Notamacropus eugenii: one gene and its partners. The protein of the gene in region 1 interacts with the protein of each later gene in a pairwise test. Links are inferred from orthologs where the notes say so. Each region holds a gene or a part of one and is shown in the gene's direction. Other genes may lie near its edges. The genes, in order: FSD2, CORO1A, SPATC1L and FAM107A.

Region 1 (7,694 bases):
GTGCTAATCTGCATTAGTAGAGGGATTTGCCTCACTAGAATTTTCCTAGTTAAAATAAAAAGATACTGATATGTTAATGTGTCCTTTTATAATCAGTCTACTTTCTTGGACTTCATCATCTCTAGAAACTCATCTTCAGCAGGATGGAATCAACTCAGAAATTCACACATTCTCAGAGCATTTCCCTCTACTCCACTCTACTACATCATCCCTCCCCTTCATCCTGATAATCTCCCTTCTTCCTTTCAGCTTTTTTCATGCCTTGTCTCATGCATTAGATTGTGACTTCCTTGAGGGTAGGTACTGCCTTTTTTTTTTTTAACCCCAGAGTTTAGCACAGTGCCTACTACATGTTCATTGACTTTGACTCTGACTCAGTCCCTTATCCCTTCTCCCTTAGATGATTGTGTTTGGCTTTTTCTCTAGTCTCCTCCTTCTTCTTCCTTCACATAGTTGACAAAAAATATCTTGCTAATTCTCAGGTCTGCTCATGTAAGATCATCAATCACGTACAAATGCCTTAGCTTGTAATTTATGGCCTTCCCAAGTCTGGCTACCACTTCTCTTTCAAATTTTAAGGCATACATCCCCTTTCAGAGGAGGTAGCTGGTGGTGCAATGGATAGAGCCCTGGGCTTGGAGTCAGAAGATTTGAGCTCAAATTTGGTCTCAGACACTAACTATATAACACTGGGAAAGTCATTTAACCTTTGTTTGCCTCATTTTCCTCAGCTGTAAAATTTGGATACCCTACCCTGAAGGGTTGTTGTGAGGATCAAATGAGATGATATTTATAAACTATGCTTAGCCTAGTACTTACTAAATGCTTATTTCTTTTCCTCCTCAAGTTTCCCTAGGATGCTTTTTCTTGATTTCTCCATTGCCCCCTTACACTTTGCTCTGTGTCACACTTAGTTGTTTGAATGTTGCAAATGCCCCCTTCTCCCCCATCTTTCCACTTTACATCTCTAGTACCTAGGATAGTGCCTTTATGTGGGTAATAAATGTTTATGAGGTTAAATTTATATAGCACTTAGCAGTTTACAAAGCATGTTTTACATACATTATGCCATTTGGGACTTATAGCCCTATGAAGTTGAAAAGGCAGATCTCATTATCTATATTTTACAAATGAGGAGCTTGAAGAGCAGAGTGGTTCAGTGATTTGTCCAAGGTCACCCATCCAGCTAGCAAGTAGACTCCTAGTCTAGGGTTTTCTCCAACATAACACACTCTCTCACATTTATTGTAATTTATTTGCCTGGTTCTAGTTAAACAATTATTGATAGGGACAACAGAATAAAATAAATGTTGGACTAGACCTGGAGTCAGAAAGACCTAGATCTGACTAGGTCTATGCCTACACAAATGCTTAATTTATGTAAAGTATTTGCTATTATTATTAACATAAATTTTGCAAGCCTTAAAATCTATTGAGATGTCAATAATCACCGTATTCTATGTAAATTTTCATGACATATTTGCTTTGAAGTGATCCTGATGATAAGAGAGAAATGGTCACTGAGAAATATGGCCAGAAAGAAAGGTTTCCAAATGAAAAGCAAAGCATTCCTCTTAGTACTATTAGTCAAATGTCTCCTTTTTCTAGAGGGTCACTTTCATTCTGACTTCCTTTTATACAAGTTTATAACTTTTAGGATGACATAAATATACATTTAAACCATTGCTTCATTACTTGGGACTTTAAGAAAAAATAGAAGTATCCAAGACAATTCCAAAAGACTCATGATGGAAAATGCTATTAACATTCAGAGAAAGAGCTGATGGAGTCTGAGTATAGATTAATGCATACTATTTTCACTTGTGGAGTTTTTTTGTGTGATTTTTCCCTCTTTTGTTTTGTTTCTTCTTTTACAACATGACTAATGTGGAAATATATTTACATGATTACTGACGTGATGGAATCCTAATAAATCTGCCCCCAGCTCCAATATTCTAACTTCCATATAGGCCCTAATGAGCAGAAGGCATGTTCTGATTTAACCACATAGTCTGGCTTTAACCACACCACAGGCCCCCCCAGACTTAATACAGCCACTGCCCTGACTAGCCACTGTCCCCAGATCCAATTTACATATTTGAAGAGATGTGTTCTTGTATTCAACCACAATCACATCATCCATTTAGCCCAAGACAGGACCACAGTACCTAACTATCCATCTTGACCAAGATAGGACCATAATAACTAGCCAATCAGAGGGTAGCACAACCAGAATGTTTGACCACTGAACCATAGAAGGGACCCCTTCCCATTACCTAATGCCTTAACAAATTCCTCCTGCCTTTTTAATATTCATAATTTCCATTGTGTAATCAGCATCATTACACGATAAATTTGCCTGTGTTTTCTTACTAAGTTGCTGATTCCTCTTGCAGCTTAGCCTGCTTCATGAGAGGCATCAATTGACAAACTACAAAACATATGTAACCTATATTAAATTACCTGCTGCTGTGGGGAAAGGTTGGGAAGGGAGAAAAATTTGGAACTTAAAATCTTTCAAAAGAATGAATGTTGAAAATTTACATGTAATTGTCTTTACATGTAATTAGAAAAAACAAAATACTATTGAATTTAAAAAAGAAAAGGGAGGAGTGAAAAAGATCTAATTTTAAAAATTGCTATGAAAGTTGCTATACAATTTCCTTCTCTGTACAGAGACATCTATATTCTCATACCTGATAAGAAAGAGGAAGCTCCTTCCCTTGTTCAATTCTAACACGTTCTCTTTTGGAGCAAAGTGGGAGAGTGAGGGGAAATAGAAGAACTGTAATTACTCACTCTAATACCAGTAATGTGACTTTCCCATTCCTTTCTCACCCACTAGGAACTCAGAAGTTCAGAGGAAAGTCGAGGAGAAGATGACAGGAGGAGAAAGACAATCAGGAGGTAATTTTCCAGTTCAGAAGTGGAAAACCAGACTGAAAGCATCTGAACTACGAAACAGAGCACTCTACTTCCCTCTACACCCCTCACCCAAGCACTGTCATAGATCCAAGGAACATTGGATTCTAGGACACAACCACTCTTTCTAAAACTGACAACCTATAAACAGCTACCATTTTAATGCTCACTTTTCTATGACACCCTGAGAATGTTTCTGGAAAATATCAGAGCAGGCACTTAGCACTTGTCTCCATATTCCCAGAAGAATATCTAGAAGTGCACGTGGTTAGAATACATTTTATTACATAAAAAAGGGCATTGACCTAGGAGTCAAAGGACCTGAGCCTCTGGTTCTCAATTCTGCCACTAATTTGTGACCTTGGACAGATCACTTTACTCTGCCATTCTTGCATTCACCATACATCAAATGAGAAGTTGGAGTAGATAACATCTTCAATTCCTTCCAACCATAACATTCTGATTTTATATTCTAATGCTATAATAATCTGGAACCTCTCAGAGTGTCATAGCAGACTGGTTATGAAGTAATAATAATAAAAGGTAGGACACATTGCTATAATCTACAAAGTATTATGGACAGCATGATGTAGCAGATAAAGCACTGAACTTGGAGTCAGAAAGACCTGGATTTGAATCTCATCTCTCACACTAGATATGTGGCTTTGGTCAAACCATTTAACCTTTTTAAGCCTCAGTTTCCACAACTGTAAAAGGAAAGGATTTGATAACAACAACCCCAAAGGCAGATAGCATAAGGATTATATTATGACCATTTCACAGATTAGGAAATTAGGGGCTCAGAGATATTAAGTAATTTGCTTGTAGTCATACAGCTAGTAAATGGAAGAGCAGGAACTTGAATTAATGTCTTCTGGTGACATATTTAGTGGGGGAGATTTTCTATCCCACTCTGTCTTGCCTCTGTACCCCCACATCTCAGGACTCCCCTAGATTGTGGATTGAAGCAGGGCCAGGGAACTTCATTTGACTGGATGTAACTTTGCAGGGTACTGGCTTCTGAGCTGTCTCTCAAAGTCAAGGTAGGCTCTCAAGTAGGATACTATGTTTCCCTAGTCTGTTCATAGCTCCAGACCACACCAGCATGTGTTTTCAGGGCACTAAGATTAACCCAAACCTCTTTGAAACATTGCTCTAGAAAAACTCAGAACTTCCCCCACCCCCTAGGATTCCACATGGCCTAGAACTGGATTCACTGAGGGATCATAGCTATATTGCAACCTATCTGGCACCCATACCCATATCTCTACTTTTATCCTTAACCTTAACCCCAAGTTCTATTAGCTGAGACCTTTGGAAGCTGCTCTGGAATTCTAAGACACCACCAATATTTGTGTCATGCTGCAGAGGCCACCCAAGAGCTCCTGCTTCTCTGTTGATCTCAGTGCCACCTAGAAAAGTGTTAGTCTGTGGGACCACTTATGAACCTAATGGATGGACTGAAGTATTGGAACTACATTCAGTGTGTTGCCTTTCCTATGTGGTGTAGGAGTCTGTCCTCCACATATTTCCAGTAGCCCAGTCTTTAGCCAGCAATGGAGAGAATTAGGTTAAGTATGCTTTGTAAGATAAAATGCATAATAATTATACAAGGGGCTTGAAACACTTAGTTCCACACCATGATTTCCAATTAGCTTTGTAACATGTGACATTCTGCCTGGTGACACCTGAGGAGTGTGAAACTACAGGACAGCTGGGCCTGATCTATATTTGTTTCCTTTGCTCATGGTTGGCATGTTACTATTTGGGGGAAGGAGTCATCCAGAATTACTCCAATATAGTTTTCCTAGGCTACTCTCAGAAAGCTGGCACTGAAAGACTGAAGATGAATTCATTTTCTTTCTTTGCAGAAATTCGGTGTCATCTGAGTTAAAAGAAGAATTTATGGATTCTTAAGTTAGAAGGCAAGTTTATATATAGTTGTAGTCACTTGTTTCTAAATCATGTTGGATTCTTAAAAACCCTTATTTCAGCATGCTGCATCGTAATGTGTCTGTCCTTGTAGACTAAGCAAACCACTTGATCCAAAAACTTTCTCTTATGTAAAAAACCAAAACAAAACAAAACATCATGGCTAATTGAAGATGTTTTATATAGGTATAATTTAATGGCAATAAATGACATAAATCATTTTCTATTCCTTTTTAAAATCAGTAGTGACAAGTTCCCATGTTATAAATAGGATATTTTGTCTATGCTAATGAAAGTTTTTGGAAGTGGTGGGAAGAGAGTGTTTAAGCAATATATCTTAGTCTATTTTAAGTACAGTGGTTAACTTAATATCCTAACAGTTTCTATAACTTAACATATTTCTAACATTTAGCCATGCTTTTATTGATGCATTTATATGTATATATGTATATATATGTATCTGTGTGTATTATATCATCAAATTTGCATATCTTGTGTCAGCAATCCAGATTGCTAACTGAAGATATTAATTTCGGAAAAGATTCTCCAAGCTTTTGTTCTATGATTTTCTCTTCTCCTCTTCCTCACACCCTTGATCCCTGGTAAAAGGAAGTAATCTGGTTGTATAGTCAGGTTGTTTTGATGGACTAATGAAGACTGGAACTCTCATTAATAACAACAGATCATATGTTTGTGTGCATATACATGCATACGCACATATACACATTTATGTGTATATGTATTTATACACACAGAGAGAGACAACAGGGTATAGTAGGTAGAATGCTAGGTTAAGATTCAGGAAGAACTAAGTTAAAATAACTTCGTGAAAGACACTGTGTGACCCTGACTTCTTGTACCCTTAGTTTACTCAAACGTAAAGTGGATAATAGTTCATTGGGTCATAGTGAAGGTTATATTGCAACACACTTTGTAAACCTTAAAGTGCTACGTCAGTGCCAGCTAGAATAAAATTTTTTGTATAATGCTTTGTAGTTTCCAAAGTACATTTCACACAACCATCCTGAATGACAGTACAAATAATGACATCTCCATTTTTACATGAGGAAAATGAGATTTAAGAGAGCTTAAATGCCTTTAAAATTATCATCCTAAAGCTGGGACTCAAAGTCTGGGGTTTTAAATTCTAAATTGTGTGCTCTTTTCTTTTTGTAATAGTTTATTACTTTTATTTTTAAATTAACATATTTAAAAAATTAAATGTCTCTCCTACTATATCCTCCTACGTCTCCCCTTATTGATCAATTTTTAAAAAATCTCTGTGGACATAGTCTGGTAAAACAGACTCCCACGTTAGCCATGTCCAAAAATTTTTCTGAATTTTGAGTTTATTATCTCTTGGTTTCATTTATTTTTATTCTTTCAAACTCATGTTTTTATTATCACTGATCAAAGTTCTAGGGACTTAAAAGCTATTTTTCTCTAATACTATAATTATATGAGTTGTTCTCCTAATTCTGCTCACTTTATCAGTTCATAAAAGTCCTCCCAGTTTCCTCTGAAATTGTCTATTGCATCATTTTTATAGCACATATATATAATATTCTATTATATATCAGAATACATATCTAATGGAATATATACATGTATAATAATTCCATTTTATTCATATGCCACAATTTGTTTAGGCATTCCCCAATATAAAGATACTCCTTTAATCTCCCATTTTTGTCCACCACTAAAAGAACTACTATACATGTTTTTATGATAGAGATCTTTTTTCTTTGATTTCTTTGGGGTGTAGGCTTAGTAGTGGCAAAGCTGGGTCAAAGGGGATACATTTTGCTAGCTTAGTAACTGGACTCCACTAACAGTATTACTAGTGTACCTGTTTACCCATAGCTTTACCAACATTTGTCATTTTATTCTTTTGTCATCTTTGCCACTCTGATAGATAGGAAGCAGAACCTCAAATTTGCTTTAATTCACATTCCTCTATTAGTGATTTAGAACATTTTTCATGGATGATTTATAGCAGGATAGCAGGCCTGCATAACTTTGGGCTGGTGGACACTTATGGCCCTTAAGCCATTTGTGGCACTGCCAAAGGATATTCTCTACATACAAAGGATGTTTTCCTCTACACCTTTCTGCAGGTGAGGGCTATAAGCTGCCCAGGGGTCACAAGTTGTGCAGGCCTGATTTATAGCCTGGATTTCTTCCTTTGAAAACTTCCTGTTCATATCCTTTGACTGTTTATCTACTGGGGAATGACTCTTGCTCTAATGTGTCTGAATCAGTTCTTTTCATCTCACTATGCTGCCTCTCATACACAACTCCATATCTAATATTTTTTCTCTTATTTTTTTTTAACTCTAGACAGTAACCATCAACAAAAACATTCATCCCAATGAAACAAAAGGTGATTGTAGGTAAAATCACAAACTTCATTCATATTTTTAAAAAAATGTATATTAACATTAATAAAAACATGCTGCTTACTTTCACTTCCCATTCTAATCTCTTTTTTCTTCTACATAGTTTTGGAGATTTTATTGCTCTTTTATTATTAATTTTACATAGTCACAGTCAATACTGTTGTTTTGCTTTAGGAAGTCAAAGGGCATGAACAGTATGATCATTCTTACTATATACTGCCACCTATTCTATATCCCCTAATTCCCACCTCTACCAGCAGTGAGTGGAGCTGTATGCCTGTTGAATTTTCTTAGTTTTAACGTTCTTTGCCATCTTAGCACAGGTGACACCTCAGAGGTATTGTCATTTGTATTTCTCTGATGTCTGGAAAGTTTGACCAATTTTTTCCATGATATCATTAATATTTATGAAGACATTTCTAATTAAACGAATAAAATGCA
Region 2 (7,495 bases), about 130 Mb from region 1:
CTGTATAGTCTGGCAAAAACTCCCATATTAGTGATGTCTAAAAATGCATGTATATGTCTCTTTTTGCATTTTAAGTTCAACAATTCTCTCTTAAGAGATGAGTTAGATGTTCTATCTACATTCTTTGGACTTGTGGAATACTACATTGATCACAGTTCTAAAGTATTTCAAAGTTTCTTTTCTCTGTGTTGTCACTGTACAAATCTCTTGTTGTTGCTTACTTCTCACTGCATCAGTTCATAAAGATCTTGCCAGTTTTTTCATAAATTGTCCATTTTGTAATTTTTATGGTATAATAATATTCCATTACATCTATATGCTAGAATTTGTTCTCCAGTAGGATGCCCTTAGCTTCTCATTTTTAGCAACCATGAAAAGAACTATTATAAATATTTTTGTATTTATAGATACTTTTATTCTTTCTTTTATTTTTTAGTGGTATAATTGGGTCAGAAGGGTATGAAAAGTATGGTAATTTTCTGGGCATAGTTCCAAATTTCTTTCCAGAATAGCTACATCAAATCACATCTCTACCAACAGTGCATTAGTATACCTGTTTTCCAGCAGCTCCTGCCACATTTGTCATTTTCCCTTTTTGTCATCTTTGTCAGTCTCATAGGTCTGAGGTGGAACCTCAGAGTTCCCCTAATGTGCATTTTGCTAATTACTGTTGATTTAGAGCATTTTTTCATATGATTTTTGGAAGTTTGATACCTTCTTCAGAAAACTGCCTGTTCAGCAATTGCTTCCTAGCAATTTAAATCAGTTCCTTATTAATATCCTGGAAATGATAACTTTATCAGTGAAATGTCGCAACTTTTCCCTCAATTACCTGTTTCAATTTGCTTGTGCATTTGATTTTATATCACTAAAACCGTTCATTTTATCTTGTGTGATCTTTATCACTTGTTTAGTTATGAATTTTTCCCTTATCCATAGATCCAAAAGATAATGTGTTCCTTGCTCCCCTAGTTAGTTTGTGACATGACTTTTTTATCTAGATCATGTATCTGTTAGGGACTTATCTTAGTGTATGGTGTGGTCTAAACCTGATTTCTGTAAGTCTGCTGTCCAATTTTGCCAGTAGCTTTTGTCAGATTGTGAGTTCTTACCTCAGTTGCTGGGGTCTTTGGGTTTATGAAACACTATTTTGTTGTGGCAGCTAGGTGTCATAGTGGATAGAGCACCAGGCCTGGAGTCAGGAAGACCCGAGTTCAAATTTACCCCCAGGCACATACTAGCTGGGTGATCCTGGGCAAGTCATTCAACCTTGTTTGTCTCAGTTTTCTCATCTGTAAAATGAGCTGGAGAAGGAAATGGTAAACCATTCCAGTATCTTTGTCAAGAAAATCCCCATGGGAGTCACAAAGAGTTGAACACAACTGAAAAGAATGAATAACAAAATTATTTAGGTCTATATTTTTGCAAAAAGCATGTGTGTGTTTGTCCTTCAATGCCAAAGAAGACCATGCCATCAGAGAAATGATGACATGATCTGCACTTGACTTTGTTTTTTTTGAGTGAGGGAGGGCTGTGCAAGTCATCAGCCTCACTTCTCCTCCAGAGCCATCTGGATCCAGTGACCAGATATTCATCAGGATGACTGGAAATGATCCAGGATGACGCAATTGGGGTTAAGTGACTTGCTTAAGGTCACACAGCTAGTGAATGTCAAGTGTCTGAGGTGAGATTTGAACTCAGGTCCTCCTGACTCCTGCACTGGTACTCTATCCACTGTACCACCTGCAAAAAGTAAAGTTTTATAATTAGATTCATACAGTCCCTGGGTGAATTTTGGTATGTATACTCCAAAATAGTTATTTTGAATGGAATCTGTCTTTCCAGCTCTTCATGCTGAGTTTTGAGGTCTATATATAGGGAAGCTCATGATTTAGATCTATTTATCTTCTATCCTGCAACTTTGCCAAAGTTATTTCAACTGATTTTTCAGTTGATTCCCTAGAGTGCTCCAAGCACACCATCATATCATCTACAAAAAGTGATCATTTTGTTTCCTCTTTGCCTACACTTATTTATTCTTTTTTCCCCCACTTTACAGCTGAAGAAATTGAGATTCAAAGAGGGGAAGGCCATGCAGTAAATGGTGAAACTGGCACATCATAGGTCTTCTGCTCTAGTCCAGCATTATTTCCATCATGCCACGTGGTTTCGTTGTATAGTCAACTAGGTCCTTGTACAAAATTCTAGACTCAGGAGGGGCTTCTTCTGTGTTGCCATCAATGGCCTAAGGATGGTCCTTGCTATGCTAACAATCTGTGTGACTCCCTCTCTACTACACACTAAGAATCAGTAGCATATGCTCAACCATTGGAAAGACCTTAGAGGAAACCAGCCCAACTTCCCTCAGCGAAAGAAGTCCTCGATGAGCCTCTGACAGGTAGCTAGCCTCTGAATAATTCTCATGAAAAGAAGCTTATCATCTCTCACGAAGCAGCCCATTTGTTCCAGACTGGGACAGCTCTGACTGTAAGAAAGGTCTTCCTCACATCAAGCCAATCAGCCTCCCCAAAGAGTAACAGTTTAAATTTTTACTCTACTTCTTACTACGTAGGTGACCTCGGGCAGGCCATTCCCTCTCTACACTTCAGTTTCCTCACCTATAAAACGATGGGGTTGGACTAGATGACTTTTATGCTTCCTTTTGGCTTTAAGATCTATGATCCCATAAACTCCCAATTGATTCTGCCCTCTGCAGAGACATGGGAAGGAGGGGGTAGGGACACAGCAGCCAGGGAAGGAATGTAATCCCTCTTCTTCATGACTGTTTTGTTTTCTCTCTAAATTTTATCTTCTTCAAATGAAATATTTCTAGTTCCTTCAAATGATAGGATTTCTAGACCTTTCACCATCTTAGTCAATCTTCCCCTAGAAATTCACCAGTGTTTCAATGCCCCTCCTCAGATGCCCTCCTGTCATGAAGCTTTCCTTATAGTGCTGCCAAGACATCCAAGCTAGCCATTACATCACATAGTTTACTTACTATACGTATAAGGACCTTAAATGTTTTTCTTGTCAACTTCTGACCATCCAAGTTTCTGCTTTCCTATATTTGTTCTGAGGTACAGCCACTGTGGTAATAAAGAAGACAATTAAGGAATGGTACCTCAGTTTAATCCAGTTTTAGCATGGAAATTGCCAGATAATGAAGGAGAATTATATTGTACATATAAACATGAATTTATGAGACTGGACCACTTAGCCCTCACCCGCAGCAAAAATCTCTTCAGAGACTACTGACCTAGAGAAAATGTATTGGAGCTGCTTCTAGAGAGATTTATGTTAGACTTTGTGAAAGCCTTCCTGACTGTGATGGAGTGACTGAGTGAGGGGAGTGTGGTGGTAGCATGAATGCTCTCCTTCATCAGAGACATCCAGTAGATATGAGATGGAGTGAGGGTAGAAGGAGGAATGGCTCTGAGGGGTCCCTGGAAGCTCCTGTTAATCCTTCTCCAAAAGTTCAGGAGTCTCCTCCTTTTCCTCCTTTAAATCTTTATTCAATCAGTCACTGATCAAGCATTGATTAAGAGTTTACTATGTACAAGATTCCTGGTCTATCCCCCACCCCAAGTGTATCCCTTTCCAAGGTGATTTTGGAACTAGCTGCCTTCTCTTCCTCAGGGAGTCAGTAGTAGAGACCTGGAAATTGGTATTTTGACATTTTGACTACCCAGGCCAGTGCTTTTAACTACACAAAACCTTGAGAGCCCAATAAGTACCTAGGTTAAGGGAGTGGTGGGATACTGGCATTGAGAACGCTTGAAGGTGCCTGCCTTAACCTCATGCCGGAGGCAGTAGGGGAACGGAATAGATTCGATAGGAGACTCCTGCCTGTGGGACTAATAATACTAATTATACAGAACTAAGAGACCTCATGAGACTGAAGCAAAGGGAATCAAATTGGGGGGTCAGGGGGAGGAGGAGGAGGGAGAGAGAGAAGGGATCCGTGCATTTGGAGATTAAAAATATGAACTCAAAGGGTAGTGTGGTGAAGTAGTGTGAGCCTGGGATTTACAGAGTGCTTGGGTCTAAATTCTAACCCTAGCTCATGTCAAGGCCTATTACCTGCACAGCCTTGTGAGAGTCACCCAGCATCTCTGGGCCTCAGTTTCCCCATAGGTAGAATGAGGGGATTCCTCTAGGGCTCCTTCAAGCTCTGGATGGAGGATCATATATAATAGGATTGAGAATCCCTGACCAGCCCCACCTAAAAGGAGCACAGGGGAGCGGCCCGATCCCTCAAAAACCTGTCCTGAAAAGGGTTCACACACTACTGCCTCATCTCCATCTCATCCACTCTGCTGGTGAACTTTGCCTGGGGCAGGATTGGGGAACTGAGACCTAAAGACAGTTAAAGGAAGAGTAGTGGGCGTGCTCCATTTCATAGCCCGGCCTCCTTCCCTCCCCAAAGGGGTGCTGCCGTTCTTAAAGGGGCCGGGCTAAGCCGTCTGCTTCTCATTCATTGTCTTGACAGGAGCATCCTTTGCCGGGCGGGTGGTGTCTCCCAGGCTCCGGCTTCAGCTCCTTCCTCCTCATCAGGCCTGGTCTCCCTGGATCTCAGTTTGCATCAGGTGAGCCTAAGGGACTTAGGGACAAGAGGGGATATGTCCACGGGGAGGCTTGGAGGGTCTGGCCATCCACCCACCTACCAGCCACCTGTGGGTGTGGGTTTGCGTGTGGGAGAAATGTAGGCTGTGGGGACAGAGATGTCAGAGTTATATCCCCACCCCAAGTATTTGTGTGCCTCCCCTATGTTTGACTATTTCTGTGTCTGTGTGGGTGGGGTGTCTTAAGAGGCTTCATTGCCAGCCCTGGATCACTGTAGAGGTCGAGTTGGGGGGATGGGAAGGGAGGAGCTTGTGGGTGAGACTCTGAGTTCCATCCCCACCCCCACCCCCTCCAGCTCCCCTGGAAGAGTCCAAGGGAGCAGGCCTGAGAACAAATCCCCCAGAGTATGGGAGGTGTTCGGCAGAGGCACAGAAGACAGAAGGATGAGCAGAATGTTCAGAACTGGGAGACAGGAAGAGGTTTAAGAGAAAAACAAGAAAACCCTAAGTTCCCCTTTCTGTGGTTTTTGAGCCCTGCAGGGTACCTGGGGTGGGAAGGGGGACTGGGTGGGGCAGCAGCTTCCTGCCTTTCCTTCCCCCACCATAAAAAAAAAAAAAAACCCATCAAATCAACCTAGGCAGGTTCAACTCAAGAGCTTGCCTTTCTTAAGCTAAAGACAGACAGGATCCTCTGCCCTGTGAGTCGGAGGGATGAGTGGGAAGGGGGTCAAGATCTAGGGCAGCAGCAGACCTTTGTGTCCTTCCACCCATGGCTCCCCTACCCTCTGAGGGGCACACAACCTGTTGCCCTTGCTGTCGATATCCCAGCCAGTGCTCTGGTTCTTCTAGCTCAGGTCCAGAATCCTCAACTTCCCTCTCCATTGAGGCCTAGTTTGCTAAAGCAGAGCTTCCTAGGAAGAGGATGGAGGGACAAGAACAGGACTCAACAGTCACACCACCTCCTCGAGGACAGGGGCCAGTCAGGGATGGAGATCTGGGATCATGGGGTATATGGGGGTTTAAGGAGAGAAGCCTCTGTATATCCCTGTGGATTGAGCAGGTAGTGCAAGGTTTTGGGGAGTAAGAGGGAGGGCTGGAGCACCATGCTCTGATCCAGTAATGGAGGAATTTTTCCCAGCATGGGAGGGCCTAAAAGGAACAGGTATCAGATGTAAATGAAGCTTGGCCTCTCCTTTAGGTCTAATCTTCATGGCCTCCTGGAAGGGGGGGTTTCCCTGCATCCTCTGAGCCTCTAGTCTCTAAGGTACCAGGAGAGGGGCAAAGCAGCAGAAGGGAGACCATTTCTAGAAAGATGTCTGCTGGAGAGAGGAGGGGATTTACAAAGGTTATCCCCACTATTCTCTGGCAGCAGTCATTCATTCAAGTCCATGGATCACCTACTTTTGTGCAGGGTTTTATAAACTAGGTGCTATGAGAGACAGAAAGATGCATGAATATGAACCTATCTCCGCTGTCATGCAGGGTAGTCAAGTTAGGAAGATGAGACATGAAAAGATAATTAACAAATGCTAGATGATGCCTAAATGCCAACTGGGTGGCACAGACAGCAACATGCTGTAGGAGTGGAGGAAGAAGAAATCGTGCAGTCCATGTGTGCAGATGGAGAGTGGGGAGATGTCAGGCAGAGGGACAGCCCTGGTAGACATGGGCACACCAGTGAATGGAGAGCCCAGGGTTTCTGCAGGGTGGAATGTCATGGGAAACAAAGGTAGGAAAGGTAAGCTCATGGAAGGCCTTGAATACCAGGACAAGGAAGTCGAACTTGATTCAGTAGTCAAGAGGATAAAGGTGGTAGAGGGAGGTATCAGAATCAATGCTTTGCTATGGAAATTTTAGAGCTAATGTGGGAGAATGGTCTGGAAGAGGGAAGACTGGAAGCTGAGAGATCAGTGAGGAAGCTGATCTTTTAGCTCATTTCCTTTGAGCTGGGAGAAGGTGGGAAGCTCACAGGACCCCCTTTGAGTCTCTCTTCATATGTCTACCCCCAGGATGAGCCGACAGGTGGTACGAAGCAGCAAGTTCCGACATGTGTTTGGGCAACCAGCCAAGGCTGACCAGTGTTATGAGGATGTTAGAGTCTCCCAGACCACTTGGGACAGTGGGTTCTGCGCTGTCAACCCCAAGTTTATGGCCTTGATCTGTGAAGCCAGTGGGGGAGGGGCCTTTCTGGTGCTGCCCCTGACCAAGGTAATGAGATCCTGGGAGATGGGAGAAACCAGAAGGGTAAACCTTCTATGGGAAAGGGGATAGGAAAATAAAGGTCCCCTCAGCCCCCTGAAGCCCTCAAGTAGTAAGGAAATGTCCCTCCTCCAGGATTTTAGAATCCAGCAAATTTAGACCTCCAAGAGAGAAGAAATCTAATCCAACTTGCTTAGAAGAGATAAAGTCCAAACAGGATACTTGACTTGTCCAAGGTCATGATTATTAGCTGACCTAGATCTAGACCCTGTCTCCTTTTCACCTTCTTCCATTTCTTCAGGTGGTCTCATTTTAGGGATACCACCTGGGGAGGGAAGGGAGTCTCCACAGTGCACCAGAAGAAAGCTAAAGGACCAGCAGAGAATACCTTAAGAAATCTGGTCAAAGGGACAAAAACAAGATACTCCACATTACCCTCCCCATCTCATCATCTGTGGGTCAGCTGGTCTTCTGCTTCCCTATGAGCTCCCATAGGGACTTACTGGGGACTAGGAAGGGGTGGTAGTGGGGGACCTAGCTTAAGGGGATCTGACGCCCCAGCCTCCCTCCTCAGCTGTGCTTCTGCAACTTGGGCTGGGGGGATGGGGGTAGTCTGAAGTCTGAGGTTGTTACCTTAAAAGGGCTGATGGAGACAAACAGAAGAGGAAGTGGTTTTGGGTGCTGAGAGCTCAGCCCTTGGCCTCCCCCACCCAACTCTCTACACCGGAAAC
Region 3 (7,079 bases), on another chromosome or scaffold:
CTTTTCAGGAGGGTTAGGATTTTTCTTTTGGAAACTGTTGCCTATTAAAATTCTTTGATGACCTCTCAAAGAGAGAGTGGATCATACTCTCAGAAAGTGGTGTTAGCTAGCTCTTTACAGATTTTGGATTTTCATGAGAGAAGACTTAGAGCAAAGGTTTTTCCACCTTAATCTGGTATTTCTCTTTTTATTTTGGATATACTAGGGCTTTTTTATTGTTATGCAGAATGGGTTTATCTAGGATGAAATCCAGCTGTCTGGACCCTTCAAATTGAATATTTGAGTACTGCTAACATTTCCTACCTCTCCTTGATCTCTCTGTCTGTTTGTCTGTCTGTGTTCGTTCTTCGTTTTCGAAGAAGACCATGGATGGTGATAGAGCAAACATTCCTTTAGTTTCTAATTTGTGTCCTCCTGTATTTGTACAATATTTCCGTCATTGGATAGAATGTGAGCCCGTGGAGGGCAGACACTGGCACAGGACTGAAGTACTTTGTAAATGTTTGATAATTTAGAATTGATTGGGGTAAGATGGGGCAGGGTGATCTTGCCCCCATTTTTGGAATGCGGAATTTTTGCCTTTATAATGAGCTCCTTAATCTCCATATTTTGTTGGATTTTCCTGAACTTGCCAAACCTCAGCCTCCTTGATGGTTTGGTTTGGCTCTAGCCCTGGCCAAACTTGTTGGAACCATGTTCAGCCCATTCAGACTAGTTGGAGTGAATGATGCCCACTGGCTGAGGGTATGATTGGAAGCTGGTGGGCAAAAGTGCTCCCCTCATTGTTCACTCATATACATCTTATTCTCCCTTTGTATAATTTTTAAAGGAAGCCTTTGCTGTTTCCATTAACATGTCTTTGTCTCTAAATTCCTTTGTATGGCAGCTGTTTTATCATGTGGTGGTTCACACAGACATTCCTCCAATTACCTATAAAACTAGAGATAATTATGGTCTAGAGATAAGTTAATGTTGAAGAAGACCTTTCCCTTTCTGTCACTTACTTCTGGGTTTTGTTAGAGCTAATATGACCAGTGGGCCTTTATCTTGGGTTCTGCTATTTTGCTGAAATGATTATTTGGCTGCTTTCTTGTTGGTATTCTAAATAAAACATTGGATTATTTAACATGATTTTTGTCTTTGCTGCTTCTCTTTGTTAACACTCGTCCAGTTGTAATGAGGAAAGTGACTTGCCCCTGCTCACTCCTGTCCCCAGTGGGGAAGCCTCTGCTGAGTGTGAGGGAAATCAAATCAAATTTTTTTAATCGTAATAAGGAAAAGTGTCTTTATTACATCATATGTTTCAGAAGCCTTTTTCCATCTTTTGATATAAACGTTAGTTTTATGTTTGTTTAAAAAATTGATCTGTTTTATTTCCACTTTGCTAATCTTTGATCATGACAAATCTTTTTTGTTTGCTGTTGATAAATCTTATTTGCCCATATTTTTGCATTGATGTTTGTTAATAGGATTGAACTTAGTCTGAAGATGAGGACCATGATTTGGCTTCTGTGATGAACCTTTCTCAGTTTTTGAAAGCAATTTATAGAGTAGAGGGATTATTCTTTGTTTGATCAAATTCCCCTTTGCGAAACTTGTGTCAGGGGCTTTTTGGTGGCTTCCCATTAAAGGCTCATTGAACTTTTCCTCCGACGGGTTCCCTGGGTTTATTTCACTCTTCTGCCTATTTTGATATTTTATATTTTTTTAAATCTTCATTTCTTTTATATGCTCAGTTTTGTTGTGTACTCATGCTTAGAGTTTTCTTCATTAGTTCTCTCCCTTCTGACTCTGTCCATTTCATGGTCATCTCTTTTTAAAAATTTGCTAGTGTTTGATATTTTTTTTGACCATACTTGACTGCAATGAAAACCTGAATTTTAAATGCCTTTATTGGAGTCTACTTCTTAAGGTCTCTCCTGGGATCCTGAGGACACTGCTCAACTCTCCCACCCCTACATCTTCTCTTGTCATTGTGGTGTAGTCATGGGGTAGAGTGGAGGGAGGGGGAGGAGCCATTGTATTTATCTCCCAGTGACTCATTGGGCCAATATCCTGCCTCTTCCTCCTACCCCGCCTCCCCCCCAGGAGATTGAGGCCTCTCTGCCAGCCTTTGAATGTGTCCTCAATGCTCTGCTGGCAGACTTGATGACCAGGTCAGCTTTCTAGTCAAAAACCCAGGCCTTGAGTTGGTTTTCTGCTCTTGAGTGTAGAAAGCCTGCCTGTGTGATGTGGCTTCTGGCTACTTGGGTTCAGGACTCAGTTGCCCTTCCAGACACCCCTTCCCCAATCCTTTGTGTCCCATGCTTGTCCATTCTGTTCTTTCAGGTGGCCTGGGGCAAGGTGTCCTGCCCCCCTTCCCTAGATATCTCCAACTGAAGCCCAAGGTGAGCTTGAATGAGTGACATTCATACCTGGGGTCTCACCATCAATGCTGCAGTGTAGAATGTCCTGTGAAGGTCGAGCAGCCCCTGCCTCATCCACTGTGCCCTTTCCCCTCCCAGCTCCCTGTTTTCAAGGACTGTTCATTTGAAAGCCTGTCACCCCCTAAAAACCTGTCATCCCTCTTCCTATGTCTCCTGAAAAACAAGGAGGGAGGGAACCTTGTCTCCTGGGAAGCAGCCGGGTCAGCCAAGTATCAGTAGCTCTGCCAGGATGACTCTGCTTCTCATGCTCAGAATCTCAGAGGCTGGCTCAACTCACCTGTACCTGTACCAAGGAGATGCCCATCGAGCACCTCCCCAACCTCCCATCCAAGGGCATGTCCATCTTCCCTCCATGACCTCCCCCCATTGCTCAGCTTGGTGGTGCCCCCGATATCATGAAGAACATGGTAGACTTCCAAATACTTAGAGATGGCATGTCCTCAAGAGCCTTCTCCAGGCTAGCTGTCCCCATTCTAATCCTCGACCAGTCCCCTGATGGCACTAAAGCAAGGCCTCCCTTCACTAGCCTGATCTCCCTTCTCTGGATACTCCTAGTTTAACACTGTCTTCCCAACTTGGGGTGCCTAGATCTGAACCCAAGGCTGTGACCAAAGCACAGGACAGCAGGATGGGTGCCCTCCTACTCTTGGATGGCATGCAGTCCCCACAGCTTTCTGGCCTGCCCTATGGCCTTGTTAGTGCTTAGTGAGTTTGCTGAGTTTTGTCAGATCACTGCTGTTTGACTGTGTCATGCCTATCTGGCACCTGGAAGGAGGAATGTTGGATTCAAGTCCAAGTCTTCATCCCTATTGTATTTCATCTTGCTTGTTTGGTCTCCTGTTCTTGCCTGTTGAGACTTGAATCCACTTCCTCACTGCAGAGCAATGCAGAAGGAAGCCTGCTGTTCATTCTGTCATTGCGTTCTTTCCTCCTGGCCTCAGCCTTGTCTCTCACACCAGCAGGACAACCCACCTGGGCTTTATTTCCTGGGGAAACAGTGGTCTCCAAGGCTCTGACAACCAAGTTTTGGTGTCAGTATTTCATATTTGGGAAATGGGGAGTGAGTTAGGCTAAAGCATAGAAGAGTATTGGGGAGAGTGTGGACTGAAGCTTTAAAATGTGGGTGAAGGAGATGGGGGGCCAAGGGCATAGAAGGTGTGGCAGTCATTGTCACATGCAGTCTGCTGGTTTTGCTCAAAAAATCTTTGTTACAAGGGAAGGTTCAGTGGGTTGGGGCACAATTCTATTCAGGAATGACTAATGTAAACAAAAGGAATCAGTACAAAGGTGAGAAGAGCAAGACTAGGATTAGGGTCTAAGGTCACTGCTGGAGGAGGAGCAAGAAGGGCCACACAGGTTCAAAAAAGTAGGAGGCAGAACCAAGGGGGTATGTGAAGGGGAAGGAAAAGCAAAAGAGGACTCTCCAGAGGCAGGGTAGATGGGGAAGCAATTGGCCACGATAGAAAAGTGAGGAAGGTCAGCCTCCAGGGAAACGAGGAGCCGCATTTGGAGGCTGTCTGATTGGGGGTCCCTGCAGGCCATCCCAGGAGATTTGGCCTGAGGTAGATGTGATGAATTTGGGGATCCTCTGCTCTGAGGTAATAATTGAAGCCATAGAAACGTGTGAGATCACTAGAGGGGAGGAGGATGGAGTGAGAAGCAGGGCAAGGGAGGACAAGCACTCGGAGGTGGAAACAAGACCATGAGGGTACAGTGTCCCAGCAGTCAATGTAGGAGCAGGTACTAGGAAGGCAGTGGGTGCCGCAGCCTCCCCCAGGGATGTCTTTCCATCCCCTTTTGGCTCGTCTGCTATTTTGGTTTCCATGAGATCGTACTGTTCTATGATTCGTAGGAATGGAGCAACCCTGGGAACACATTGGTTGCAAAGCCTTGTTCTTTGGAAGCATCACTGAAAGCATTGCCCCATCTCACCTGCGACTCACTTCTAGGCTCAGCTGTAGGATCGTAGCTAGATGGGACTCAAAGGCTGTCTGGTCTACCCTCTCATTTGTCATCCACTTTACTGTCTCCATATGGATGTAGACTGCAGACGTCCTGAGGAGGTTTGGCAGGGTTCCAGGGCTGGAAGCCATCCTTCCTACATCCTCCATTTAAGAGGACAGTCTCCCTATCGACTGATGGGGTTTGCTCTGTGCTTATGACCCTGGTGAACCCCATGGGTTAGAGGAGCCTGGGTCTCTTCTTTACACAGCTCACTGAGGTCAGTCAGTGAGACAGTCAGTGAGGTCAGTCAGACAATGAAACTGTCTTCCTATGGGGTCACTGAAGCCCCAAGCTCCTTTTTCAAGTACAGTAAGGCTCCCAGAGTTACAGTTAATGAACATCTTAGCCGTTGGTACTGGGGACATAGGACATTTGGGTCAAACAGGACAGCAGGAGAAGGGGAAGGGGATGTTTTTTTGGTGGAAGGAGGGTGTATTTTAATAGCACATTTGGATTCCATATGTGCACTTGTCCTCTTTTTGTAGGACTTGAAGGATCATTACTGTGTTAAATCCTAGGAGATTATTGGCACAGTCCTTTTGAGAGGGAGAAAAGCAACTGAATCCTTTTGTTCTAACGAGTCACAGGTTCCATGGTCCTTGGGAACCAGAGGGGCAGAAAACCTGGGATATTAAGAAAGTTCTTGTTGGAAGCCCCGTAGAAGGAATCCCTGGTTGGGGTTGAGCTATGGGCTAACTCAGTGGCTTCTGAGGCTCCTTTCCAAGGAGAGGAAACTGCCAGCTAGGAGCAGGTGCTGCCCAGTTCCTTCTTGAGACCCATGGCCATATCTCCTCAAGTGGGGCTACTGTCTGTTTTTCATGCTTCCTTGAGAGCCAAGCAGAGCCTGAGGTTCTGGCACTCACAAGCTGTATGACCTAGAACTTCTCTTTTCTGAGGTTTCATTTCCTCATCTTTAAAAATGAATGAGATGATCTTTGATCTTTCCAATTCTAAATTCAATTCTGTGGCTCAAATGACCTTGTCCTATCTCTCTGTGACATGTCTTTTTAGACTTAGTAGGCTGGTGTGCCAGCTGATTCAGCTGGCCCTGTGGAGGGAAGTTTTCCACTGGGGATGGGTCTACAGAAAGTCCTTTAGTACAGCTCTGGTGAGCTGTGACTCCTTGCTGAGTTCTGGAGGAAGAAGGTCCCTCGGTTTCTCCCCTCAGGTCCTCTCTGACCACACCTGTTCCTTTAAGATGATGTGACATCATAGAGCTGTAGAAGCCCCAGTACTTGTCATGGAACATTAAAGCATTTGCCGACTTCTTGAGTATGACCTGAGAGTCATCTTTCCACCTTAAAAGTAGTAAAGTAGCCTTACGTACCTTTCCTTTAGGGAAGAGAAGAAGGACATGGCTGAGGGGAATGAACTGATGAACAGGCTGATGAGTGAGAATGCTGACCTGAAAAAGCAGGTTCGGTTAATGAAGGAGAACCAGATGCTGAAGAGGCTTCTCAGCGAGAGCTGCCATGAAAACAGCAGCCGAAATCGAGACTGTCGGGAAAGCCGAGACTTCCTCTTCCCCAAAGTCCCAGGATACCCTGAGGCCTGCTCCCCTGGGGCTGGAGGTAAGCAGGGAGGTGACGGGGCTGTTCCTCATTCACCATTTATCAAGTACTGACACAGCACAGCCCTGTGGTAGGTGCTGGGGGTACAGAGAGAAAAACCAGCACAGTCCTTGGCATCAAGGAACTTCCATCCTATTCATGTCCTGTTCCTTCAAAGTTGCCTATGGTGCTATGGAGTCAGAGGTTAGGAGGGAAATGTTTCATTTGGATTTGTTTTTTCTTTGTATTGCATAACTGTGTATGTTTTTCTTTTTAAAAAAAAATTATTTAAAGTTTTGAGTTCCAAATTATATCTCTCCCTCCTTTTCTCCTTTCCCTCCCCTTTCCCTGAGATGGTAAGCAATCAGATATAGGTTATACATGTATGATCATGTAAAACATTTCTATACTAGTCATTTTGCACAAGTATGTATATATATTAAATAAAAGAAAAAGAATGGAAGAAAGTGAAAAATAGCCTGCTTCAGTCTGTATTCAATCAATATCAGTTCTTTCTCTGGAGGTCTGTGTCATCATTGTCCTTTGAGGTTGTCTTGGATTATTGTATGTCTGAGAATGGCTGAGTCATTCATAGTTCTTCATGAAACAATGTTGCTGTTATGGTGTACAATGTTCTCTAGGTTCTGCTCATTCCACTTTTCATCAGTTCATGTAAGTCTCTCCGGGTTTTTCTAAAATCATCTGCTTGTTGTTTCTTATAGCACAACTTGCTTAGCCACTTCCCAATGGATGGGCATCCCTTTGATGTCTAATTCTTGCTACCACAAAAAAAAGCTGCTATAAATATTTTTGTATAGATAGCCTTCTCTCCCCCTCCTTTTCTGGATGTCTTTGTGAAATAGATATGGCAGTGGTATTGCTGGATCAAAGGGTATGCACAGTTTTATAGCCCTTTGGGCACAGTTCCAAATTACTCTCCAGAATGATTGGATCAGTTCACAGTTCTGCCAACAGTGCATTAGGGTCCCAGTTTTCCCACATCTCCTCCAAGAGATATTTCATTAAACCAAAGAAGGCTTTCCTATGAATCCAACTTGGAAAGGTTTCCACAGAAGGAATGGAAAAGAGGCTTCCTCCA
Region 4 (7,425 bases), on another chromosome or scaffold:
GAAGGGGCCAGGCTCCCAGAAAGCTTCCTTCTGTAGCCATGAGCTTGCCAGAGATGATCCAAGGGCACAAGACTGGGTGAACTCTGATCTGTGCCTCCTCTAGGCTTATGCTGTAGGGTGTCTTTGTTCTCTGCATAGCTTGTTTCTTCATTGCTTCTTTAAAAGTTGAGAAGGGGAAGATGATAAATGTTGGAAAGGATATGGGAGAGTTGGAACACTAATTCATTGTTGGTGGAGCTCTGAGCTGAGCCAACCATTCTGGAGATCAATTTGGAACTATGCCCAAAAGGCGACAAAAATGTGCATACCCTTTGACCCAGCAATATTGCTTCTAGGACTGTATCCCAAAGAGATCATAAAAATGGGAAAGGGTCCCACATGCACAAAAATATTTATAGCAGCTCTCTTTGTGGTGACCAAGAAATGGAAATCAAGGGGATACCCATCAACTGGGGAATGGCTGAACTAGTTATAGTATGTGAATGCAATAGAATACTCCTGTGCTATAAGAAATGATGAACAGGAGGACTTCAGAGAGACCTAGAAGGACTTATATGAACTGATGCTGAGTGAAATGAGCAGAACCAGGAGAACATTGTACACAGTAACAGCCACAGGGTATGAGGACTGTTTCTGATAGACTTAGTCCTTCACAGTAATGCAAGGACCTAAAGCATTCCCAAAGGACTTGAGGTAAAATGTCATCCACATCCAGAGAAAGAACTATGGAATTGATTTTTCATGATTTTCTTGCATCACTCTCATTTCTCTTCCCAATTTTTCCTCCACCTCTCTTACTTGATTTTCAAAATCCTTTTTGAGTCCTTCCAGGGCCTGAGACCATTGCATATTTTTTGGATGCAGAAGCCTTGATTTTTATGTTTTCCTCTGATGGTATGCTTTGTTCTTCCTCATCCAAAAGGATGGAAAAAAATACCTGTTCACCAAGAAAGTGACCTTCTATAGTCTTATTTTTTTTGCCCTTTTTTGGGCATTTTCCCAGCCTATTACTTGACTTTTGAGTCCTTTGTCAAGTGCAGGGTATACTTTAGGGACCTGTAAGTTCTCAGTTCCTCCAAGGTGGCACAATCAAGGGAGAGGAGTTTACTCCTCTCCTGGCCTACACTCTGGTCTGGTAGCAACCACAAGTTTTCTGCCCAGGATCTGTGAGTAGAATTCCCTCTCCAGAACCTCCACCAGATCCACCAGGCCAGTGCTCCTCCTCACCCCAGGACTGCCACTCAGAGTCGAGACCCATATCAGCTGATCAATTCCCCCGGGGTCTTTAGGCTGAGGGCTCCTAAAATGAATGCTGCTACCACAGCAACTGCCACCAACCTAGGACCAGGGCCAGACCATGTTCCCTTCTTACCCAGGTGAAAGCTGACCTTTCTCACTGACCTTTGAAGCTGCCTTTGGTGTTTTGGGATTGAGAAATCTGGGAACCCCAGCTGCTGTCTGTTATTCTGTACCCTGAAGCCTGCTCCAGTCCTGTCCCTGCCACACGGCCAAGGCTAGGCTGCTCTCTGTCCTGAGTCAGTGCGCTAGACCTTTCCTGTCAGCCTTACAGGCTGTCTTGGCCTGGAAATCTCTTTCACTCTGTCATTTTGTTGCTTATGCTGTTCTAGAATTTGTTTATAGCCATTTTTTACAGATATTTTATGGGATATAGGGAGAGAGAGCTACAGCAGGTTCATCCTTCTACCAGAACTATGAAATTGGAATACAGAATGAAGCAGACTATTTTCTCTTGTGTTATATTTTGTTTTGCTTTGGTTTCTCCTATTCTTTTTAATTCTTCCATACAATATGACTAATATGAAAATGTGTTTAATAAAAATGTATGTGTAGAATCCATATAAGATTGCATGCCCTCTCAGGCAGGGAGGATGTAAGGAGGGATAGAAAATTTAAGACTTACAGAAGTTGAAAACTGAAAACAAATACATTAATTTATTTTAAAAAATAAAGTTGAGAAGCAAATGAAACAGTTGAGGATTTCACACAGTCCTAGCTCCTTTGCCTTCTGGAATATCATATTCCAGGCTCTCCAGTCCTTTAATGTTAGAAGCTGCTAAATTTTGTGTTATACTAACTATGGCTCCATGATACTTGAATTGTTTCTTTCTGGCTGCTTACAATATTCTCTCCTTGACCTGAGAGTTCTAGAAATTGGTTATAATATTCCTGGGAGCTTTCATTTTAGGATCTCTTTTGGGAGGTGATTGGTGAATATTTTCAATTTCTATTTTACCCTCTGTTCCCAAAATATCAGAGCAATTTTCCTTGATAATTTCTTGAAAGATGATTTTTTTTAATCATAGCTTTCAGGTAGTCAAAGAGTTTTAAATTATATCTCCTGGATCTATTTTCTAGGTCAGCTGTCTTTCCAATGAGATATTTCATGTTGTCTCCTATTTTCTCATTCTTTTTGGTTTTGTTTTATTGTTTCTTGATTTACCATAAAGTCATTAGTTTCTATTTGCTCAATTCTAATTTTTAAGGAATTATTTTCTTTAGTGAGCTTTTGTACCTCCTTTTCCACTTGGCCAAATCTGCTTTTTTAAGGAGTTTTTATTTTCTTAGTGAATTTTGGTGCCCCTTTTACCATTTGGCCCAGTTTGTTTTTTATGGTGTTATTTTCTTCAATTATTTTTGTGTCTCCTTTACCAAGCTGTTGACACATTTTTCATGATTTTCTTGCATAACTCTCATTTCTCTTCCCAATTTTTCTTCTACCTCTCTTACTTGATTTTTCAAAATTCTTTTTGAGCTCTTCCACAACTTAAAACCAATTCATATTTTTTGGGAGGTTTTGGATGCTGGAGCTTTGATTTTGTTGTGTTCTTCTGTGTTTAGATCTTCCTTGTCACCATAGCAACTTCCTATGATCAGAATTTTTTTCTGCTTGCTCACTTTTCCAGTCTATTTCTTGACTTTTAACTCCTTGTTAAAGTGGGGCTCTGCTTCTAAGGTGGAGGGCATACTGTCCCATACTTCAAGGATTTCGTACAGATATTTTCAGAGATATTTCTAGGGACCTGTAAGTTTTCAGTTCTTCCAAGGTGGTATGATCTAAGGAGAGGTGTGTTTCTACTCTCAGGACAGTGGTCTGTGAGTGACCACAAGCACTCTTTTCTGTCTTGGAACTGTGATGGGGTGCCCTGCTCCACTGAGGCTGCAAGCTGTAATGTGCTAGAGTGCTTCTCCTTGCCCTGGGACTGCCACCCAGAACTGCGACCCAGATCAGAGTATGAGCAAAGCAATAGAGTCTTGCCTCAGTGCTAGCAAAGAGGATACTGTAACCTCCTTCTGACCAGTTGTTTGACTCCTTTACTGTCTGTGGGCTGCTACTACAGAGGTAGCCACTGCCACTGCTGATTCAGTGGCTCCCAAGTTCTGCTCCTGGTTTTCTGGGGCCAGACTATACTGGCATGACCTGTACTGGACTGAGCTCTACTCTCACCCAGGTGGCACAGATCTTTCATACCAACCTTCTAAGTTGTTTTTGGCTGGAAAATTATTTCACCCCATCCTTTTGTGGGTTCTACCTTTCTAGAAATTTTTTATGGCATTATTTAAAGGTATTCACAGGGGTTTGGGGGAGAGATCAGGCAAGTCATTGCCTTTTCTCTAACATTTTGGCTCTGCCTCCTAAATTTGATAATTGTTTTTAAAGGAAGATTTGAACAATTTGATAAATTTGATACAGATTTAAATAGCTGCCACAGTGGACATGTTTTATACAATCTTCCATGTATTCAATCCGTGCCTCTCTACATTAGATCTCTGGGACCAAGGCTGTTCATTAAAATTCATCAGAATTCAGCTGCTTTCATGGGGTCTTCCTGGCAACTGGAGTTGTTTGTCATTTATTTCTCCAGATCATTTTACAAGTAAGGAAACTGAGGCAGAGTGAAGTGACTTGCCCAGGGTCACAGAGGTAGTGTCTGAGGTCAGATTTGAACTCAGGTCCTCCTGACTTCAGAACTAGCACTCTCTCCACCTGGCTGCTGGTTTATAAATTCCCAAGATTATAGGTCAAGAGTTGGTAGGGACTTCGAAAGTCATCTACTCCCATCTCTTCATTTTACAAGTGAAGAAACTGAGGCACCAAAAGTCTCAGTGATACCCCAGTGACTTAAGTAAGATTGTAAGTAACAAAGTCAGCATTTGAACCTTGGTGCCTCTGTGATTCAGTTTCCTCATCTATAATGCTACCTTCCTTCCAGGAAGACTGTGAAGAAAAGTGGATGTTCATCCATACTGGCCCTGGGATCCCAGCAGCCTGGCCCTCTCAACAGTAACATAATCCCCTGAAATCACCCAGGAAAGGTTTTGTGAGAGGAGCAGATCAAAATGTACCGCCTGGCAGGGGAGGGCAGGGGCTGTGCTGAGCCTGCCCATCTCACATGACTGCTTTCCGTCTCTGAAAAGATCTTACTGAAGTGAGAGAGAGAGAGAGAGCTCAGTAGCAGAGCTCCTGCCAAAAAGCTATGCACACTTGCCAGCATGTGCAGCCTCCGAGATTCAACTAGCTTCCCCCGTGCCCGGCCGGCACTCATGGCCCAGAGAGATATGGGGATCAGGGTGCCCCCTGAGGCAACAGGTCTCTACCGAGCCATGCTGGTTAAATCAGGTAAGAGCAAGCCTGGAGTGGGACCCTCTCCCCTGCTCCCCAGCTGGGCAAAGAATGTGTTTGCCTGCTTCCCTGTGCCAGTGTCCACCTGGGCACCTGTCCTGGCCCATCCTGGCATTTTTCTGGCCATCATGTACTGAAGAGTTTTAAGTCGGGATCCTAGTCCCACTACCAGACATGTGATTCCTTAATATGACTGATTTTAAATGATTGCTGGCACTTCTCTAACTGTGGGTATTATGATTATCAAGGAGGTATTTCTTTGGTTTCTTTTAGTTTGTTTTTTAACAAGTCCTACAGTCCAGGTAAGAAACTCCTAGTTTCAGGGGAAATAGCTTGCCTTTTGTAAAGGGGGAAAGGGATCGGATGGTTCCTATTTCTTTTACAATTTCATTTTGAGAGAGATATTTTCAATAGTGCTCATAATTCTGCGGGTTCAATCTTCCTTCTAATTCAAAAACCTGATCCATGAGAAATCTGCCAGTCTATGCTTCAGTCAAGGGCAAAGAGGTAGACCCAGCTCTGTAACCAAGTGAGGCACCCTGAGTGCCTTTCTGGGGCCCTGCCAGCTGCCAGCACTGGAGCCCAAGGCTAGCTGGGGCTTTTTTGTGTTGTTCCTGGAGTCTTGGGAAGCATCAGACAGCAAAATTGGAGGGATTTGGTCTGATTCAGCGGCTCCTGGAGTGGATCATTCCGGGACATGCTGAGAATAGCTAAACTCAGAAGCCTGCACTGGGACACAAAATGATGCTGCCTGGAGAGACCAATGCAGCCTTTCTGAGGTGGGAGTCAGTCAGCCTGGACTGATTGAATGTCCGCTGTCTGGAGAGATCTGAGCTGGAAGCAGGGGATGAAAAAATATATCAAAAAAACTTTCAAATCATGGAATGCCCAAGCTGGAAGAGAATTCAGAACTCCAGTCACCCTCCCTCCTCCCCATTTATATTCATTTGACAACTGAAATTCAGCGAAGTGAAGGGACCGGTCCAGGATCACACAGCTCCTTGGTGGAAAAGATGGAACCCTGATCCGCAAACTAGTGTTTATTCAGTGTCCTTTAAAATTCAATCAAATTCCACTTTCTCCAGGAAGCCTTCCTTGATCTCTCCCCACCCCCACATTCACAGGTAATAATCTTATCTAACAGTGGAATCACCTGCTAAAGAGGTAGGGGACTCTCCCTATATTTGAAGTGTGGAGGCTTAAGGTAAGGGGAATTCTTGTTCCAGTATGGATTGGATTAAGTTGCTGAGGTCCCTTCCAACACTGGGATGCTTTCATTTTCTGTGATTCTTTGTAAAGTTATATTCTATACATCCCTCTAGGTTTCAGTCCTATAGATGAAAACCAAGTGGCTCCTTGGGCTCTCTCATTTATCTTGCTTAGTACCCACAATTTGTGCTCTTGTGTATGGACCTCTGTGGCCACGAGCTCCATTGCTGACTTCCTTCTTGCATTTTTGACTCCTGAGAATTATGGGGTGTCTCTACTGCTGTTATTGTAACCATGCTCTGTGGTCCTGAAAGTTGGTTTCTCCTTTCACTCTCCTCCCTTTCCAGTTTGAAGTCCCTTTCTTTTACTAGCATTGCAGATCTCTGAGCAAATATATTTTTTAGCCTTTACTATCTACAATCCATCCCTAGCCAAGAGTGTATCATTCCTATATTTTAAGCCTTGGTCCAAAAATTAATTTTTTTTGTTTTCAGGTAAACTACTCAAGTAGTTCTTCACTCCTCAGATCTGTCTTTCTCTTCCAAAACTTCTGTTTTAATTGACAAACATGATGAAGAGACCACTGGGGCCCCTAAGGTCTTCATTTTCTTGCCCAGGACTTCAATGTCCCTACCATGTTTGCTAACTTTCTTATGGTAGTGTAATGTGTCCCTAGATTTATCACGGGAAGTAGGAAGCAAGTTTGTCAAGTCCTGTTGTGGCTATGTGCACCTAGATGTGGGTTTCATTTCTGCCTCACTCTCCTCAGATTCTAGGACTGTACCTGGCACGTAGTAGCTATGTCCAAAGGTTTGCTGATTGACAGTTTGACAAACAGCTGTCTTGGTTTCCTCAGCAGAGAGTCACCAGCCACCACTGACTTTCCTCTGACCCTTACTGAGTAACCTCTCTCCTTAGAGCCCTGCCTCCTCTCAGGATGGCTCAGCTCAGCCCTCTGCAGGGAGAGTCCATCACCTAATCCTCATGCCCCCACTTTTGTCACTCATATTTCCCTTTCTTAAAGTTCTTACCTTCTTCTCCCCTCTCATGCCCTGACCCACATCAGGGCACTCAGATCCCTCTTCAGCTCCTTCCTTTCTTTTTTTGTTTGTTTGTTTATTTTTACTTGGAAGTTTTTCTATTTTTAAAGGCATATTTTTACATCCCTTAGCAGGAAAGAGATTCCTTTTTTCTTTCATCTTTTATTGTAGGACAGAGACCAGCCTGAACTGTGTGCATTCATAGTCATCCCCTTGCCATGGCAGAAGGACTGAAAGCAGCCACCCTCTCTGCAGGCCATTGTGCCCGTCTCTCCTTCCCCTTCTGTCCTCTAAGTGTCAGAAGAGGGATCCCCTGGAGTCTTTTCCTGGCACAGGGCAGACTGGGTGTCTTCTGAAAATCCCCTCCACCTTGGAGATGCTGTGCTCTCTGGCACTGTAATAAACAGTGTGTGAGAGTGTAAGCGATGCCAGTTTTTAAGAATGTAGTCCTGAGCTGGTGCTGTGTAATGGAGTCAGTTCTAATGACCAAGTTTGGTCCCAAGTGGCCAGAGATGGGGGAATGGAACATTGCAT

The links.
Region 2: the proteins of FSD2 (region 1) and CORO1A interact in binary tests that used the Homo sapiens proteins (3 or more experiments, as listed by UniProt). The two-hybrid records come from large-scale screens. The link is inferred for Notamacropus eugenii from reciprocal best matches to the Homo sapiens genes FSD2 and CORO1A.
Region 3: the proteins of FSD2 (region 1) and SPATC1L interact in binary tests that used the Homo sapiens proteins (3 or more experiments, as listed by UniProt). The two-hybrid records come from large-scale screens. The link is inferred for Notamacropus eugenii from reciprocal best matches to the Homo sapiens genes FSD2 and SPATC1L.
Region 4: the proteins of FSD2 (region 1) and FAM107A interact in binary tests that used the Homo sapiens proteins (3 or more experiments, as listed by UniProt). The two-hybrid records come from large-scale screens. The link is inferred for Notamacropus eugenii from reciprocal best matches to the Homo sapiens genes FSD2 and FAM107A.

The regions. Positions count from the first base shown.
Region 1 is NC_092872.1:177,483,040-177,490,733, forward strand, and holds the start of FSD2 (fibronectin type III and SPRY domain-containing protein 2), read left to right. Parts: upstream 1-4,676; 5' UTR 4,677-4,847; intron 4,848-7,694.
Region 2 is NC_092872.1:46,753,969-46,761,463, reverse strand, and holds the start of CORO1A (coronin-1A), read left to right. Parts: upstream 1-4,481; 5' UTR 4,482-4,589; intron 4,590-6,574; 5' UTR 6,575-6,575; coding exon 6,576-6,773; intron 6,774-7,495. UniProt on the Homo sapiens protein: May be a crucial component of the cytoskeleton of highly motile cells, functioning both in the invagination of large pieces of plasma membrane, as well as in forming protrusions of the plasma membrane involved in cell locomotion.
Region 3 is NC_092873.1:68,617,152-68,624,230, forward strand, and holds the start of SPATC1L (speriolin-like protein), read left to right. Parts: upstream 1-4,060; 5' UTR 4,061-4,128; coding exon 4,129-4,166; exon of another isoform or gene 4,167-4,672; intron 4,673-5,768; coding exon 5,769-6,001; intron 6,002-7,079.
Region 4 is NC_092874.1:466,688,048-466,695,472, forward strand, and holds the start of FAM107A (actin-associated protein FAM107A), read left to right. Parts: upstream 1-4,410; 5' UTR 4,411-4,512; coding exon 4,513-4,639; intron 4,640-7,425. UniProt on the Homo sapiens protein: Stress-inducible actin-binding protein that plays a role in synaptic and cognitive functions by modulating actin filamentous (F-actin) dynamics. Mediates polymerization of globular actin to F-actin. Also binds to, stabilizes and bundles F-actin.